Linked DNA regions of Alligator mississippiensis. The protein of the gene in region 2 purifies or fractionates together with the protein of the main gene of each other region. This does not show direct contact. Links are inferred from orthologs where the notes say so. Each region holds a gene or a part of one and is shown on either strand. Other genes may lie near its edges.

The links. Proteins that work in one complex are often made in the same cells at the same time.
Region 1: the proteins of ECSIT (region 2) and PPP2R1A purify together in Homo sapiens (affinity purification with mass spectrometry; 3 studies listed by BioGRID and IntAct, with this or other methods). This does not show direct contact. The link is inferred for Alligator mississippiensis from reciprocal best matches to the Homo sapiens genes ECSIT and PPP2R1A.

Annotation. Positions count from the first base shown.
Region 1 is NC_081838.1:29,894,997-29,902,694, reverse strand, and holds the start of PPP2R1A (serine/threonine-protein phosphatase 2A 65 kDa regulatory subunit A alpha isoform), read left to right. Parts: upstream 1-4,686; 5' UTR 4,687-4,722; coding exon 4,723-4,800; intron 4,801-6,394; coding exon 6,395-6,485; intron 6,486-6,667; coding exon 6,668-6,768; intron 6,769-7,235; coding exon 7,236-7,468; intron 7,469-7,698. UniProt on the Homo sapiens protein: The PR65 subunit of protein phosphatase 2A serves as a scaffolding molecule to coordinate the assembly of the catalytic subunit and a variable regulatory B subunit.
Region 2 is NC_081831.1:22,519,570-22,527,122, reverse strand, and holds the start of ECSIT (evolutionarily conserved signaling intermediate in Toll pathway, mitochondrial), read left to right. Parts: upstream 1-4,542; 5' UTR 4,543-4,633; intron 4,634-4,990; 5' UTR 4,991-5,035; coding exon 5,036-5,134; intron 5,135-5,418; coding exon 5,419-5,824; intron 5,825-6,643; coding exon 6,644-6,867; intron 6,868-7,285; coding exon 7,286-7,343; intron 7,344-7,553. Other genes in the region: TLC domain-containing protein 4, read right to left, coding at 375-660, 891-964, 1,154-1,248, 1,398-1,456, 1,933-2,022, 2,160-2,314.

The DNA.
Region 1 (7,698 bases), on a different chromosome or scaffold from region 2:
TCCTCTGCTGCCTGTGGACTCCACCCTGCCCGCCTTTCCCCCCGCCCCACTCCCACCCCTGGACAGCCTGCTGTGCAGGGAACCCAGGTGTCTGGGTTGCGCACACACGCACACACAGATGTGCATGCACACACGCACAGATGCAGACACACACGTGAGCATGGAACCCAGGCGTCTGGAAAATCCCCGCCCTTCCCCATCCCAGTTCTCCCAGTCTCCCCCCAGTGACCTGATCCCAGTGCCCCCATCCTAATGCTTCCCACCACAGTGCCTTGTCCCCTCCATGCCCCTCATCCCAGTGCCCCAGTCCCCCCATCTCAGTGCCCCATCTCACTGCCCCCAGTGTCTCATCACAATCCCTCCCACCCCAGTGCTTCCAGTGCCCCATCACAATCTCCCCACCCCAGTGCCCTCATCCCAATGCACTCAGTGTCCCATCACAATCCCCCGTCCCAGTGCCCCCAGTCCTCCCAATGCCCCATCACAATCTTCCCCACCCCCATGCCCCCAGTCACCCTAGTGCTCCCCATCTCAGTGCCCCCATTGCAATGTCCCCCACCCCAGTGCCCCCATTCCCCCCAGTGCCTGCACTCACAAAGCACATCAAAGGTGGCTGGGAGGGACTGGGTGGTGCCCAGCTCATTTCAGGCCTCTCAGGCGTAGGCACTGCAGTGCTGGGGGCCGGCACTCAGCTCCAGCACAAACCCGGGCAGAGGGGTGATCATTGTGGTACCAGGCCCAGGCGGGTGCAGGGCAGCCCCCGCCTTCCCTTCCCCGGTGCAGCTGAGCCGCACACCCGTGACCTCCAGCACCTGCCCCTAGGGCTCCAGCACCAGCTACACAGCCTCCAACGGGTCTGCAGGCAAGGGGAGGGTTTTAGAGGGGTGGGCAGGGCCTGTGGGTGCCTGGGTTTGGTGAAAGCCTGAGCCTGGTAGTGCCAAGGATGAGGCCTGAGCGTGCTGGACAGGCTGGGGGAGTGGGGCTTGGCGTGATGGGTAGGGCCTGGGGTGGGTGAGAGCCTGCACCTTAAATCAGAAGAGGTGGGGCTTGAGGATGACAGACAGGCAGAGTGGGCGGGACCAGGGAAGCAGATGCCAGGCTTGGGCAACAGCCTGAACCCAGGGCTACAAATGGGATGGGGCTTAGGCTGATAGACAGGTCTGTAGCTGCCATTTTCCTGCTTTCCTGCCCACTGGCCGCTCTGGCATTACGTGGTTCCTGGCTGCATTGCTAGATAGCGGGAGCACAGGGCCCACACCAGTACCCCGGGGCCTGGAACAGGAGTTGGGGGTAGGGGGCAGTTTGCCTGCACACATCCATGCAGTGAGAGAGGGGGAGAGAGAGACAAAGCAATGACAGAGTATGCGTGTTTATAGGGCAAGTCACACACCCCACTATATACATACACCCACCCTCGCTTGCATTGCCATACACACAGACCCCCACACCCACTCCCCCTCCCACATCTCTGCCACCCTCTTCCCCACACACAACCTCCCACAAACCCCAAACCCACCCACACCCCACATATCCACATACACCCACATGCTCCCTCACCCCACGCCTATCCACCCCCACAGAATCCTCCCACCTCCACCCTCCCCCACACCCCGCATACCCACAGCCCCCCACAAATCTATATGCACCCCCTGTGCCCCACCCAATAGACAACCATAAGACTTCATTTTAAGCTATTATACAATCACCTCTGTGTAGACTCAGCAAGCACATGTAAATCAGGACAAAAATATTTTTGAAACCAAATTAATGCATGTTTTCAATGTTTGATTTTTAAACTATAGTTTGGTACTTTTCTGGTTCTGAGATGGCAAAACCCCTTACTGAAAGGACAGACAAGGTTCTTTTGGAGGCAAGGGGAAGGACTTGTGCATAAACGACCCGTGCCCCTGGCAGCTGGTGGGGCACAGTGGCAGGGGGAGCATGGCGACAGCAATGGGAGGACAGTGGCGGTGAGCGGGGAGCTCCTGCAGCTGCCACCGGCAGCATTGGCGGCAGCCCATGGGGATCGCTGACCGCCCACAGACGCCACTGGCAGTGCCGGCGGCAAGGTGGTGAATGGCAACCACCTGCAAGCACCTTTTTGGAGGGGATGCACTGCCATGCTCAGGGGGTGCATGTGCACCTGCGTACACCCCCTAGGCATCACCCCTGGACTTCTGGTGGCAGGCGGCAGGACTTCCAGTCCCAAGATGATGACCAGGGGGCGGGGCACCTGTTAATGGGTGGGGCTACCCATGTGGCCCTCAGCAGCTTGCCAGAACCCGAAAATAATTGCCCGCCCCTGGTTTAGATGCTGCAGCTGTCTATGTTGGTTCCCCCAACACCTCCCACTACCTCCCCCACCCACCTAAACATACCTGTAGGGGGCGCTGAGGCAGGGAATCAGGGGTCAAGTGAGGGGAACCAGCAGGGCTGGGACATAGGCGAATGGTGCCACCTTAGCCCAAAATCACTTACTGGGTTGGACTCGGGTGCTGGGAGTGCCTGTGGAGGCTTGCCATGGCCTGAGATGCGCCCAGCTCTGGGGTGGAACTGGCGGGAAACAGTCAGTGACCGTCTGGGACAGGAAGTGGGGACCTCGGGCCAGACACGGCTGGGGCAGGTGCTGTCATGGGCAGATGTGGAAGTGGCCCAAACCAGGGCCTAAGCAGGATTCAGCCTCTCCCTGCTGTTAGGAGAGAGATCCCAGGTGTCTGGGCTTGCACAACCCCCTGCTCTCACCCACCTGCCCCTGTTGCCCAGAGATCCCAGGCGTCCGGGCTCCCAGGGGATAGAAGGTGCATGTGTCCAGGCCCGCTTGTTAGACCCGAGGCTGCTCATGGTGCCAGACTTTTAATCGCTCCCTCTAGCGTCCATCCATCCATGCCTCCCTCCCTCCCTCCATCCATCATCCATCTTTATATTCATTCACTCCTCCATCCCCAGAGGCCCCCCCTCTTCATCTGTCCATCCATGCATGCTCAGATGCCTTCTTCAGATGCGGGTCAGGAGTGACGGGGCAGGGCTGGGGGGAGCAGGGGCTGCGGGTTGGGCGTGGGGGGCACGGGCTCACCCCAGCCCCGGCCCTTCCTGCTCTGTTGCAGGATACGTCTGGGGACGAAGCAGCCAGAGGTGAGAGCTCAGCCCCCACACGGCCGCCCGGATGCGACCTGGACCCCCGTCCGGCCCTGCTACATCGGGGGCCTGGTATCTCAGCCCAGCCTGGTATCTCCTCCCGCTCTTCTGCCTTGATTAGCCCCATGGCCACGAGCAGGGGCTGGGTCTCCCCACTGTGTCCCCCCTTGGCGCGATGCTCAGGAGCCGCTCAGGGTCTCTGGGGACAAAACATAGGAGGCTTCAGGAAAGATGGAGCCGCAAGGGCCCCTGTATATGTAAGAGGGCAGCAATGTGCTGGTTCCCCTGTTTTGGAGCTGATTTCCTTTCCCGGTCACCATCAAAAACCTCCTAAATGCTTGCGTTCGGCTGCATCTTTTAGGAAGTCAAGAGAAGAGGGGAGTTGTTGCGTGTTTGCAGCTCTGGCCGAGAGGGGGCTGGTGCAGGGTACCATGAAACAATGGAGAGAGGCCGAGAGAGGAGCGTGTGGGACTAGGCAGGTAGGTATGTGCATAGGTGGATGGATGGATGGATGGGTGGATTGACGTAGCGCAGAAGGTGGGCTGCATGGGGATGGATGGGTGGGTGGATGAGTAGATAAATAGACCGATAGACGTGTCGGTGGGTAGAAGGACGAGTGAATAGACGTGTATAGGAGCAGATCGGTGAGACGGTGTATCGGTGGCTGGAGAGAGAGGTGGGGAGCGGGGCGGGGCTCGGAGCAGGCAGGCCGGGCGGGAGCGGGTCCGTGGGCTGTGGCGCGGGGGGAGGCAGCCGGATCGGGGTCTCGGGCGGCAGGCGAGGTCCCGGGCCCCATAACATCCACTGTGGGGGCCACAACGATCCTAGCTGGTGCTCTGACATCACAGCGAGTGTTATGTCATCCCCTGGGCTGCAATGTCATCTTGGGTATGACCTCATCAGCGCAGGGCTTTGTGACGTCACCCACGGCGCTGTGGCATCATGAAGGCACCCACAGTGCTGCTCCCGTGACAGAGCCAAGATGGCCGACCTTGCGGTTGCTAAGGGCAACAAGTATCATTCCCCGCCTTAGAACCACCCAAGCCCCAGTCGTTCTCGAGGGTTACATTAGGATTGGACTAGTGCCATGTCAATCAAATCGAGTGGCCAATTATCTGAGAGAGAGGGCGGGCGCTGGGACACGGAGTGCCGTTTTCCTCCCCCAATAGAGTGTAAGTGAACGGAGATTGACAGGAACTATCTAGCCAATGAGAAAGCAGAGGCGGGAATTCAGAGGGACGCAACCAATAGGATTTAAAGGAAGGTGGGGTACTTTGAGCTCTCGCCCAATGGCGTTGTGGAAGAGGCGGGTGCACTGGCCCCAAACCCAATGGCGCTTGTAGCGCAGAGGGGACGGACCAAGTGTCATCCAACCAATTAGAGCGCGGGCTGGATGTGGCTGACACACCCCTTCGGCCAATCACATCAGGGGAAGCGGGGAGACACTCTAAGTGACCGCCAGCCCAGCCAGTGATAAGAGAGAAGGGCAAGACAGGGGCCCCGGCCCAGCCAATCAGCGCGGGGCCACCCCTGCAAGGCGGCTAAGGCGTCCCCGCGGCTCTTCAGTAGCTGGAGCCGGGAGCAAAGATGGCGGCGGCCGACGGCGACGACTCGCTCTACCCCATCGCGGTGCTGATCGACGAGCTCCGCAACGAAGACGTACAGGTACCGGCGGCGTCGGGGCCCCTTAGGCCGCACCGGCGTCCGCCATCAGCCCGGCGCTCAATCACGCGCCGCGTCTCATTGCCGCAGCGTGGTTCGGGGCATGAGAGGAGGTGCCTCATTGGCCGCCGGCGCCCCTCGTTGGAATGAACGCGGGGGGACCGATGTGGGGGGGCTCGTCTGAACCCCGAAACCCCTTCGGGGGAATGAGGAGCCCCTTGATTGGGCGGAGCAGCGCCTATCGGGGCGCCCCTCACTCCCTGGATCCTCTTCGGCGTGAGAGGAAGCCCCTGATTGGCTCAGAGCTTCGGACTGGGGTCAGTGAGGGACGCTGTTTGTTGTCGAATCCTGCATTGTCTTTTGTGGGATGGGACGAGCCCCCTGATTGGCTGGCATCCCCCATTCATTCCCGTGAGACCCCTCATTTCCTTTTGGGGGAGGTGCTGAGAGCAGTTTCTGATTGGTTGTTTGCTGGAGATTATAGAACCTATTGGGGGGCCTGATTTATTGCATTGAGGGAACAAAGTGTGTGTGGTGGGGGGGGGGGACAGGATGAGAGGAGTTGACTGATTGGTTCTTCCTGTACCCGTACCCCTGTACCTCTATGGGGGCCAATTGGAGGGGCTGTTTCACACTAGGGGTCCTTTTGAGGCGGGGGGAGGGGGGGTGATTATAATGGGTTCCTGCCTATGAATGGGTGGTGTAAGGCTCCTTCTTTTTAGGTGGGGTGGGCAGAGCCTATGGGACCAATCCTGGCTTGTTCCCTGTGGTAGATCCATCCTAGGAGCCAATCAGAACCTTTCTCGGTGTCACGCCTGGTCTGGTTGACTGCAGGAGGCTTCCTCAGCTGCCAATGACAGCCTTTCCCCGCTCTCCTGGCATTCCCTGCTATTGGCTGGGATCCCATGGTATATTCCTGCAGGGCGGGGCTTGTAGCAGCCAATCGGAGTTTTCAGCCATAAAATGCAGCCTTCTCAGCCGCCCGCCCCTCCCCGGGATGGGGGCGTGGCCGGCAAGGCTGTCCCACCTGGTTGGCTGGAGCAGAGGTTGCTATGGGGGAGGCAAGTCCTCCCCACGGTCTGTGGGGGGAGGGCAAATATACCCCCCACCCCTGGGGGGGGCAGTTAGGGGATCTGCCCCAGTGGGTGGGGCTTCTGGGGTGGGTGGGGCTATATGGGACTGGCTGGGCAGGTTGGACCAGCTGTGACACAGGAAGGGGCGGAGCCATGCAGGGGCAGGGACCTGGTCTGTCGCAGGACACCCAGGTTCTCTGCCCGGGGCCTAGGGCAGAGCTGAGGGTGGGGCCCGGACGCCTGGCTTCTCTCCAGCTCTGCGGGGGGACACGCACATTAGAGCCCCCGGCTCATCCTCAAACCTGAATCAATGCGCCCCTCCCCCCGCCATCCCCAATCACTCCTGACCCGCAGCCCCCTGTCCCCCAAACCTAGCTGGTGCCCTCAGGCCTCCCCTCCCCTCCTGCCGTAGCAGGGACCTGGTGCCCCCCGTGTTTAACCATTGATGTGCCAGCCGGGCCTCAGTGCCCCCGTGACCTCAAGGAGCCTTTGCCCATCCCCTGTGATCCCCACTCTCCCCACAGCTCCGGCTGAACAGCATCAAGAAGCTGTCGACCATCGCGCTGGCGCTGGGCGTGGAGCGCACCCGCAGCGAGCTCCTCCCCTTCCTCACAGGTACCCACAGGCCTGGGTTCTCTGGGAGGGGGGAGAGGCTGGGGGGTGACAGTCCGGGGTGCTGGGAGCCTGGATGCCTGGGTTCTTCGGGGGGGCAGAGGATCAGAGCAGGGTTGGGGGGCTCGGACAGCTGGATTCTTCGGTTGCTGTCAGCAGCCTCTGTCCCTCTTCTCCCCCCGCAGACACTATCTACGATGAAGATGAAGTGCTGCTGGCACTGGCCGAGCAGCTGGGCACCTTCACCGCCCTTGTCGGGGGGCCCGAGTATGTGCACTGCCTGCTGGTACGTGCCCTGGTTGCCTGGGTTTTTTGGGGGGTGGGGGGGGATGGTCCTGGGAACTTGGGCAGTGGAGCATAGTTGGGCAAGGGTGCCCGGATGCCTGGGTTCAGGGCTGGCTCTGGGATTTTGGGGCATGGTCCTGGATGCCTGGGTCCTTTCCCAGCTCTATATGGCCCGTGGGCTCCCCTTGCGGGGGTGTGGTGGTGCCCCCGGACACCTGGGTCTCTGTGGCCAGGATGGGGCCGGATCTCCCAGACACCTGGGTTCAGTGTTGGTTCTGGGAGGTGGGGAGGATTCTACAGGGCCTGCCCTCCCAGATGCCTGGGTCCTCCCCTGACCTGAGGCAGAGAGGGGGCAGGACTGTTGGGTGGGGGGGCAGGGCCTTTTAGGGGGAAGTTGACCTGGATGCCTGGGTTCCCCCCGGGCCTGCCCCACCCTGCCCTGAGCTCCCGGATGCCTGGGTCCCACAGCCACCGCTGGAGAGCCTGGCAACAGTGGAGGAGACCGTGGTGCGGGACAAGGCAGTGGAGTCCCTGCGGGCCACGTCCCATGAGCACTCGCCGGCTGACCTGGAGGCTCATTTCGTGCCCCTAGTGAAGCGCCTAGCGGGTGGCGACTGGTTCACATCCCGTACCTCAGCCTGCGGCCTCTTCAGCGTCTGCTACCCCCGCGTGTCCAGCGCCGTCAAGGCTGAGCTGCGCCAGTGAGTGCCTGTCATGGAGAGGAGGGAAAACTGAGGCTGGGGGGTGGTACAACCATGGTGGGGGGGACTGAGGCAGGGGGCAGGGTGATTTGGGGGCAGAAGAGAGGCTGGGAGGGGTGGGGATGTTTGGGGGCGGCAGGGCCATGGCGGGGGAAACAGATACAAGGGGTCATTTTGGGGGAAACAAGCTGGGAGTGGGCAGAGCTGTTGGGCTAGGGCCATTGGGGGGA
Region 2 (7,553 bases):
ATTTAGTTGCCCCCTGGGGAGGTAATCCCAGCCCAGATGCCTGGGAGGGTAAATCCAGCCTAGAAGGCCCAGGGGGGGAGCACTTCCAGCCCCGATACCCCTGAGGAGTAATTCCAATTCAGAGTTTCCTGGGGGGAGCAGTTCATGCTCCTAGAGGGGTAATTCCAGCCCAGATGCCCTCAGGGGGGTAATTCCAATCCAGATTTCCCGGGGGGGGGGACAGTTTTAGCCAGATGCCCCCCACTAGGGGTAATTCCAACTCAACTCAGGTGCTCCCAGGGGCAATTCCAGTTTAGACGCCCCCAGGCTCCGCGGATGCTGGTCCGGGTCATTGCGGGGGGTGGGGGGGGGAAGGGTGGCGCGAGGGTCCCCGGTCAGAGCTGCTTGCGGGGCGCGTGGCAGGCGCGGTAGACGCCCCGCAGGATGCGGTACATCCAGACCAGGTTGAGGACCTCCAGGGCCAGGCTGGGACCGATCCAGGCGGCCTGCACGGCCGGGCCCAGGCGGGCGTACTCGGGCGTGCCGTGCCAGGCCAGCACGCGGGCGTAGTAGGTGGGGATGACTGCGATGCGCACAGAGAAGAAGGCCACGGCCATGGCCACCCCGTTGGCCCGCACCGGCCCCGAACCCCGCGGCCACCCTGCCGCCTCCAGGAACCACCTGCCACAACGGGGGCTCTGTCACTTTAAGAAGACCCGCCCCCTCCTCCGCGCCAGGGGATTGGCTGAGGAGAAAGGGGGCGGGGTTTCGCTGTCTGAATTTGCTGAGAGCCTGCGCCTGGTGCTGGGGGAGAGAAGTGACTCCCCCAGACTGGAGCGAGGTCCGCCCAGGGGCAGCAGAGCTGGGGAGGGGGCTGTAGGACGGGCCAGGCCAGATGCCCCCAAACTCACCGCAGGTTTACGAAGGGGGTCGAAAGCTCGGAGAGGAGGCGGAAATTGGCGAAATACGGTAACACCCCGCGGTTCTGGAGGTGAAGGACACCGTCAGCCCCTGCCCAGCCCCTCCAGGACCCGGTACCTCTCGCTCCCAACCCACAGCCCCCCACGGGCTGAAACGTGCCTCTCACTCCCGACCAGCAGCCCGCTGCTCCCTTCCCTCTGCCCCAGCCGGTGACACTCACTCCTGACCCGCAGCCCTTCCCCCCCACACTGACCAGCACGTAGCCGTAGGCGTACAGCGCCGCCACGTGGTGACACACGAAGAGCGCGTCTCCCATCGTCTTCCAGTAGCGGCCGAGAAGCAGCAGGTCTAGGGGCGGGAGTGAGAAGGAGGGGTCACCCCCCTGGGTCTAGCCCTTGCAAACACCCCCGGCTGCTCTGGGGTCCGGAGGGGGGGCTCAGACCTGCTTCAGAGGGGGGGACCCCTCAGCTCCAAGGGGTGGGGGGGGGGGCACGTACCATAGAGCAAGTAGCCGCTGATGATGGCCACGTTCAGCTTCACTAGGCGGGGGTCGCCCCTGCGGGCACAGGATGGGGGGGGGTGAGCTCATGGACGGCAGCTCGCAGGGACCGACAGTACACCCCCTGGAGTCCCAGCTTCCCCCTCAATGCCAGGCCCCTGCCCCCCCCCCCCTTCCGTCCTCCCCCCCGGTCAACTCCGGCCGCGGGAACAAGGAGCTCTTTCTTTCCCAGCACAAAACGGCTCTTCATGCCCGCGGTGCCATGTGACGCCCGCCCCCCGCCCAGGCCTGGCACCTCCTCCCACGCTCCCCACCTTCTTGCCACGGCTGGCAGAGAGGGCCTGGGAAAGCTGCCCGGCTCGGGGACTTGGCTGCGGTTACAGAGCGAGGGGCTGCGGGTCGGGAGTGAGGGGCACTGGCAAGGCTGGGGGGGGGCAGGGGGCTGCAGACCGGGAGTGAGGGGCATTACCAGGGCTGGGGGGGTCTGCGAGGCGGGAATGAGGGGCACTGGGGGGCGGGGGGGGGGGTCTCACCATATAGGATCCGCGTTCACGGCCGCGTCGTACCAGAGGATGTAGAGGCAGAAGCTCCCGACCAGCAGCGCGTGGAGAGTGGACACGCACCTGGGGGCAGCGCGGGGATGTCACGGACAGACAGGTCACCCCCGCGACATCCCTTGACGTTCGGGCCCAGGGAGCCCGGACACCTGGGTTCTCTACTGGCTCCGGGGGCCCGATCCTGGCCGGGGGAGGGGCGGTACCTGGAGTCCCACTCGATGCGGCGGGCGGGGGGCAGCGCGCAGTACGGGGGGCAGAGCGCCAGCGACAGCCGGGGGCTCACGGCCGAGAAGCAGAACTGGAAGCCCACGAAGCTGGCGGCCACCACGCAGTAGCCGAAACGAGTGGAGTCCTCCATGGCGGGGGGCCTGTGGGGGCCCGCGTCAGCGCCGACCGGCGGGGCCCCTCACTCCTGACTCGCAGCCCCGCGGGACCCCTCACTCCCAACCTGCAGCACCCTCTTTAGAGCTGTTGATGCCCCTCACTCCGGACCCGTAGCCGCCCCCACCCCCGACGGTCCCTGGCTCTCGCTCTCCCGGGCAGCCGGAGCCGCGGTGTCCCCAGGGCAGCGGCAGCGCCGCGGAGATGCCAGCCTTGCCCGGGTGGGGGGCGGGGACCTCCTGGGACCAGGGCCCAACTGGCGCCCAGCCCGGTGCTGCCCCCTCCCTCCCCCGGACCTCAGCCCCCTCCTCGGCTTGGGGAAAGGACCCAGAAGCCCTCGGCCTCAGCCCCACCCCGCCCTCTACCCCTTTCTCCCAGCTCGGGGCAGAACCCAGGAGTCCGGGCTCCCAGACCCCCACGTGCTCCCAGCCGCCCAGAGGACCCAGGGTCCTCCCAGCCCTGCATCGCTGTCACCGAGACCCGGCGACCCTTGTCCGGCCACGTGTGCGGGGTTGAGCGGAGATAATCCCCCGGGAGCAAAGGCCACGGCTGCGGGGCGGGGCGGGGGGGGGTTGGGAGCCCGGACGCCTGGGTCCCACCCGGTGACGTGACTTGCCCCAGGCGGGCTATTGCCACACACGGCGGCGGACGAGCTGGTGCCGGCTCAGGACCGCCGCGTCCCGCCTCGCCCGCCTGCGCCGCATGACCCCAGTCCCGCGTGGATCGTGTATGTGTGGCCACGGGGGGGGAACAGGCCACTGTCACTGCTGCTGTATGCAAATCTATGCAAATGACACCTCACTGACAGGCAAATACAGCGCGGCCCTGCATTCCCGCGTGGGGAACTGGGAGCGGGTGCCGGACCAATCGCTGAGAGCAGCGCCTCGTTGGTCTAATTAATATGCACCCGCGGAACTGCTTATTGGCCGCGGCCTGGATTTGGCAGTGACAGGGGAAAATGAGGGGGGGCGCTGATTGCATATGCAAATGAGGAGCCAAAAAGCTATTGACACGAGCCGATATTCAAATAAGGCGCAGAATCCCGATGAGCCGTGATTTGTTCCGGCACATTATTTGCATAGTGATCGTATGCAAATGAAAGACAGCGGTTGCGGGAGCTCCTTGCATATTTAAATAAGGGGTTGGCGAAAAATGTGCGCGGGGGCTTTTTTGTTTAACAGCGGAATATTCTAATGAGGGACTGGACGGCCAATGGCGTGGGCGGGTTGGCTGTTTAATATTAATTGTTATGCAAATGAGGCCCGAGGTCCCGTTCCAGTCCACGTCGCTCCCACCCGAGTCACGCGCGGGCCTTACTGGGCGGGGTGAGGGGCTCCGGGGGGTGGGCGGGCACCAAGCGGGTAATCCGGGGAACATCCCAGAGCCGGGGGTGTCACGCGTGGGGTGGGGGAACGGCAGTGCGGGGCTCCTCCCATGTGGGCTCAGGCTTCCCACCCCACCACCGCTCCGCCCCCGGCACGGTGTACCCACCTGCCCGCTCCTGCGTCACACGAGTCCCGGCCACGCGTACAGCCCCGCCACTACCACATAGAGACCCCCCCACCCCAGCTGGGAGGGGGAGTGGGGGCGCTGCACCCAATCCCCACGCAGGACACGCCCACCTCCTGGGATAGCTCCGCCCCTTCCCCGCGAGCCGAGGCAGGTTCCCGGGGTGCGGCACCACCTGGATGAGGGGAGGGGCCGGACGCCTGGGTTCTTTCGCAGCTCTGGGATGGGAGTGGGGTCTAGTGGTCACGGCGGCGCCGGCTGTCCCCAGGGCACCTTGCCCGGATGCGGGGCGGGGGCCCTTTGGGACCGGGACACAGACGCCTGAGTTCCCGCCTGGATCTGGGGGGCGAGGGGCCCGGCCCGGACGCCTGGGTGCTGAGATGCAGCCCAAACGCGCAGCCCCACGGATGCCTCTGTTTCCCACCCGCCCTCTCCGGCGGTGGTTGTGCGCTGGGCGGGGGCGCTCACCCCCGCGCCGGGCGGGGCGCGGCAGCCTGTTCCCGGTGGCCCTGGGCAGGCTCCGACCGGCTGGGTGGGGGCGGGAGCGGGCCGGGTCACCGGGAAACTGAGGCACTAGGCCGATAGGCTTGCGGGAGGAGGGACCCAGACGTCCGGGTACCCCGCCCCCTGGCGAAGAGGGGCGGGGCTTCTGTGCGGGGGCGGGGGCCCGCTGAGGGGCGGTGCGCTCTGATTGGCTCCGTCTTCTCGCGCTCGCTCCGCCCCCTCTCTGTGCACCGGAATTGGTTGCCGTTGGGGGAGGGCAGCGGGGTCAAGATGGCGGCTTAGGGTGAGGTTCGGTTTGGTTGTCTTGGGGGCAATTGCAGGGCTGGGGTGCGGAGTTGGGATTCAGCGAGGCAGGGGTCCTGTTCGGAGGTGAGGGCTATTGGGATGGGTCTTGCCTGGAGTGTCCTGAGGCCAGCGAGCATGTTGGGGGCAGGGAGTGGGGCCTCTCCGGGGGCGCTGGGAGAGCAGGGAACTCTCGGCTGCATGTTGGTTGGTTTGAAGGAGGGTTGGAGTGTGGACGCAGGATGCACGTGCCTGCACTGTGTGTACATGTGCGTGCCAAGCCAGGGTATCCTGGGGGGGTATGGCCGAGCCAGGGCCCTCCATGGCTAAACCAGGCACTATTTGGCTCTGTCCTAAGTGTGACCCAGCTCCTGCACCTGTCGCGGGTCCCTAAAACCCCACCATGAACAGCATGTGGCTGCTCGCCGCAGCCCGGGGCACACTGTGGAGGGCAGCGCTGGGGCGGGATTACACCTGGTTGCAGAGCCCTGGCTGTGTTCAGGTACTGGGGGCAGTGCAGGGGGCTGGGTTTGAGGTGGGGTGAGGTAGGGGCTTGGTAGGGGGGGCAGTGGAGGAGGCTGGGGTAGCATGTGGGGCTATAGAGATTCAGCAGACTCATGACATAAGGGAGCTACCCTGTCCTGGGTTATCCACCCCAGGGCAAGGAGAGGGCATGTTGAGATACCAGGGGTGGTGGGGAGTAGAAGGGTTTGAGATAGGACGGAGGGTGAAGGGCAGGGGCTCGTGCGGGCGGCCCTTGTGCCCTGCTGTCTCTGTGCTCTGCAGGCTTTCTGGACAGGGCCCCTGCGTGGCTGTAGCAGTGGCTCGAAGCTGACCCTGAGGCCTGGGGATGATGGAGATGGGGAGCAGATACCGCGGGAGCTGGTGCCCTTTGAGAACATGTTCCGGCAGGCGGCCCAGCAGGGCCGCAGCAAGGCAACCTGGTGCCAGGTGGTGGAGGCCTTCCAGAACCGGGACGTGCGACGCCGCGAGCATGTGGAGTTCATATACACAGCACTGCGGCACATGGTGATTTTTGGTGTGGAGCGTGACCTTGACGCCTACAACTGCCTGCTAGATGTTTTCCCCCAAGGTGTCTTTGTGCCCCAGAACTACATCCAGCGCATGTTCCACCACTACCCGCGCCAGCAGCTGTGCGGCATCCAGGTGCTCGAGCAGATGGAGACCTATGGTACGGCCAGCTACTGGGGGTCTTGGAGGGCATGGGGATGCGTGGTTTAGAGGAGGTGGGGCTGAGGCCAGGACACAGGTTATATGCCAGTTGTAGGAAGGAACTGGGAGGCTGGGCGTGTTAAAGCAAGGTGGGCTGAGAACCCAGACACCTGGGTTCCATCCCAGTTGTAGGCGGGGAGCAAGGTCTGGTAGGTTAGAGAAGGCAGGTGCTAGGGCTAGGATACCTGGATTCTGTCCCAGTGGGTTAGAGCAGTGAGGGCTGGCAGTCCAGATACCTGGGCCCAGTCTAGGAGACAGCAGGGAGCTGGTTAGGTAGAGCAGAAGGGGTGGGGCAGCGCACTTGGGTTCCATCCCAGTTATAGGAGGGGAGCGGGATCTGGTGGGTTAAAACGTGGGTGCTGGGAGCCTGGACGCCTGGGTTCTAGTCTTCCTTTGGGAGAGGGTGGGGAGCTAGGGAAAGGGCTGGCTGGGAGCCCAGACACCTGAGTTCTTCCCCAACAGTGCCAGCAAGGCTGTCCGCACCCTCCATGGATTCAGCCTGCAGACCAAGACCATCAGTGTTGGAGAAGGAGGAGCTAGAGCAGGGGGTGCTCAGCCCAGACACCTGGATTCTGTCTCCAATCTGGGAGTGGAGTGGGGTTTGGTGGGCCAGAGCAAGAGAAACTGGGAGTCTCGACGCCTGGGTTTCATCCCACCACTGGTTCAGGGTGTGAGTGAGGCGCATCGCTTGGCTAGTCCATGCCTCAGCTTCCCCCACTGTAGCAGCACCCCAGCACCAGGGAGCCCTGCCTCAGTGCCCGCCCTTTCCTGCCCACAGGCATCATGCCTGACCAGAAGACTAGATTCCTGCTGCTGAAGATCTTCGGGGAGCAGAGTCACCCTGCATACAAGTACCAGCGCATCATGTACTGGTTCCCAAAGTTCAAGCACATTAACCCCTACCCGCTGCCCGATCCCCTGCCCCGTGACCCTGTTGACCTGGCACGGCATAGCCTAACCAGGATCGCTGCTGATGCCAGCGCCCGTGTCACCATCTACCAGGTGAGCCCATCCCTGGCTTCCCTGCCTTTCCCAGAGCCCTCCTGACTCCAGGCCACGAACCCTGTGGTCTCTGGTGGGGGAGGAGGGGGGGTACCAGGCTTCTCAGCCCTGCTGGGGTGGCGGGGGGGGGGGGGGGGGGTGGTCTACGGTGGGTGGGAATGGACTCTGCCCACAGGAGACGAGAGAAGGAGCAATGGGTTTGCACTATAGCAGGGAAGGTTGAGGCTGGAGACAAGGCAGACCTTCCCTTTTTGCAGGGAGATTTGGTGCTGGGACAGGCACCAGGGATGGTCTGGGCGGGGACCTCCAAGTGCCCCAGAGCTGGGCTATTTGGGATGGGATGCAGGGGCTAGGCTGGGAGTGACCCCTGAGTGCCTGGCACTGCTTTGTGGGTCTCATAGCACTCATGTCCCTGCAGATGCCCTTGCCAGAGCAGGAGGATCCAGGGATAGATCATGCACAGCCCTACATTGTAGGTAGGGATTCCCGCAATTGGGCACATTGTTGGGTGGGGGGGGCAGTTACGTTGGACCAGGGGATAGGTGCTGACAGGAGGGCCTACCTACAGCCATGGGCTGGTGAGAGGCTGTAATGGACCATGGCCTCCCCCCCCCCCCCTCCGGCCGCACATGATGTAGCACAGTGGTTCCTAATCTGTAGTACATGTACCACCAGCGGTACAGAGA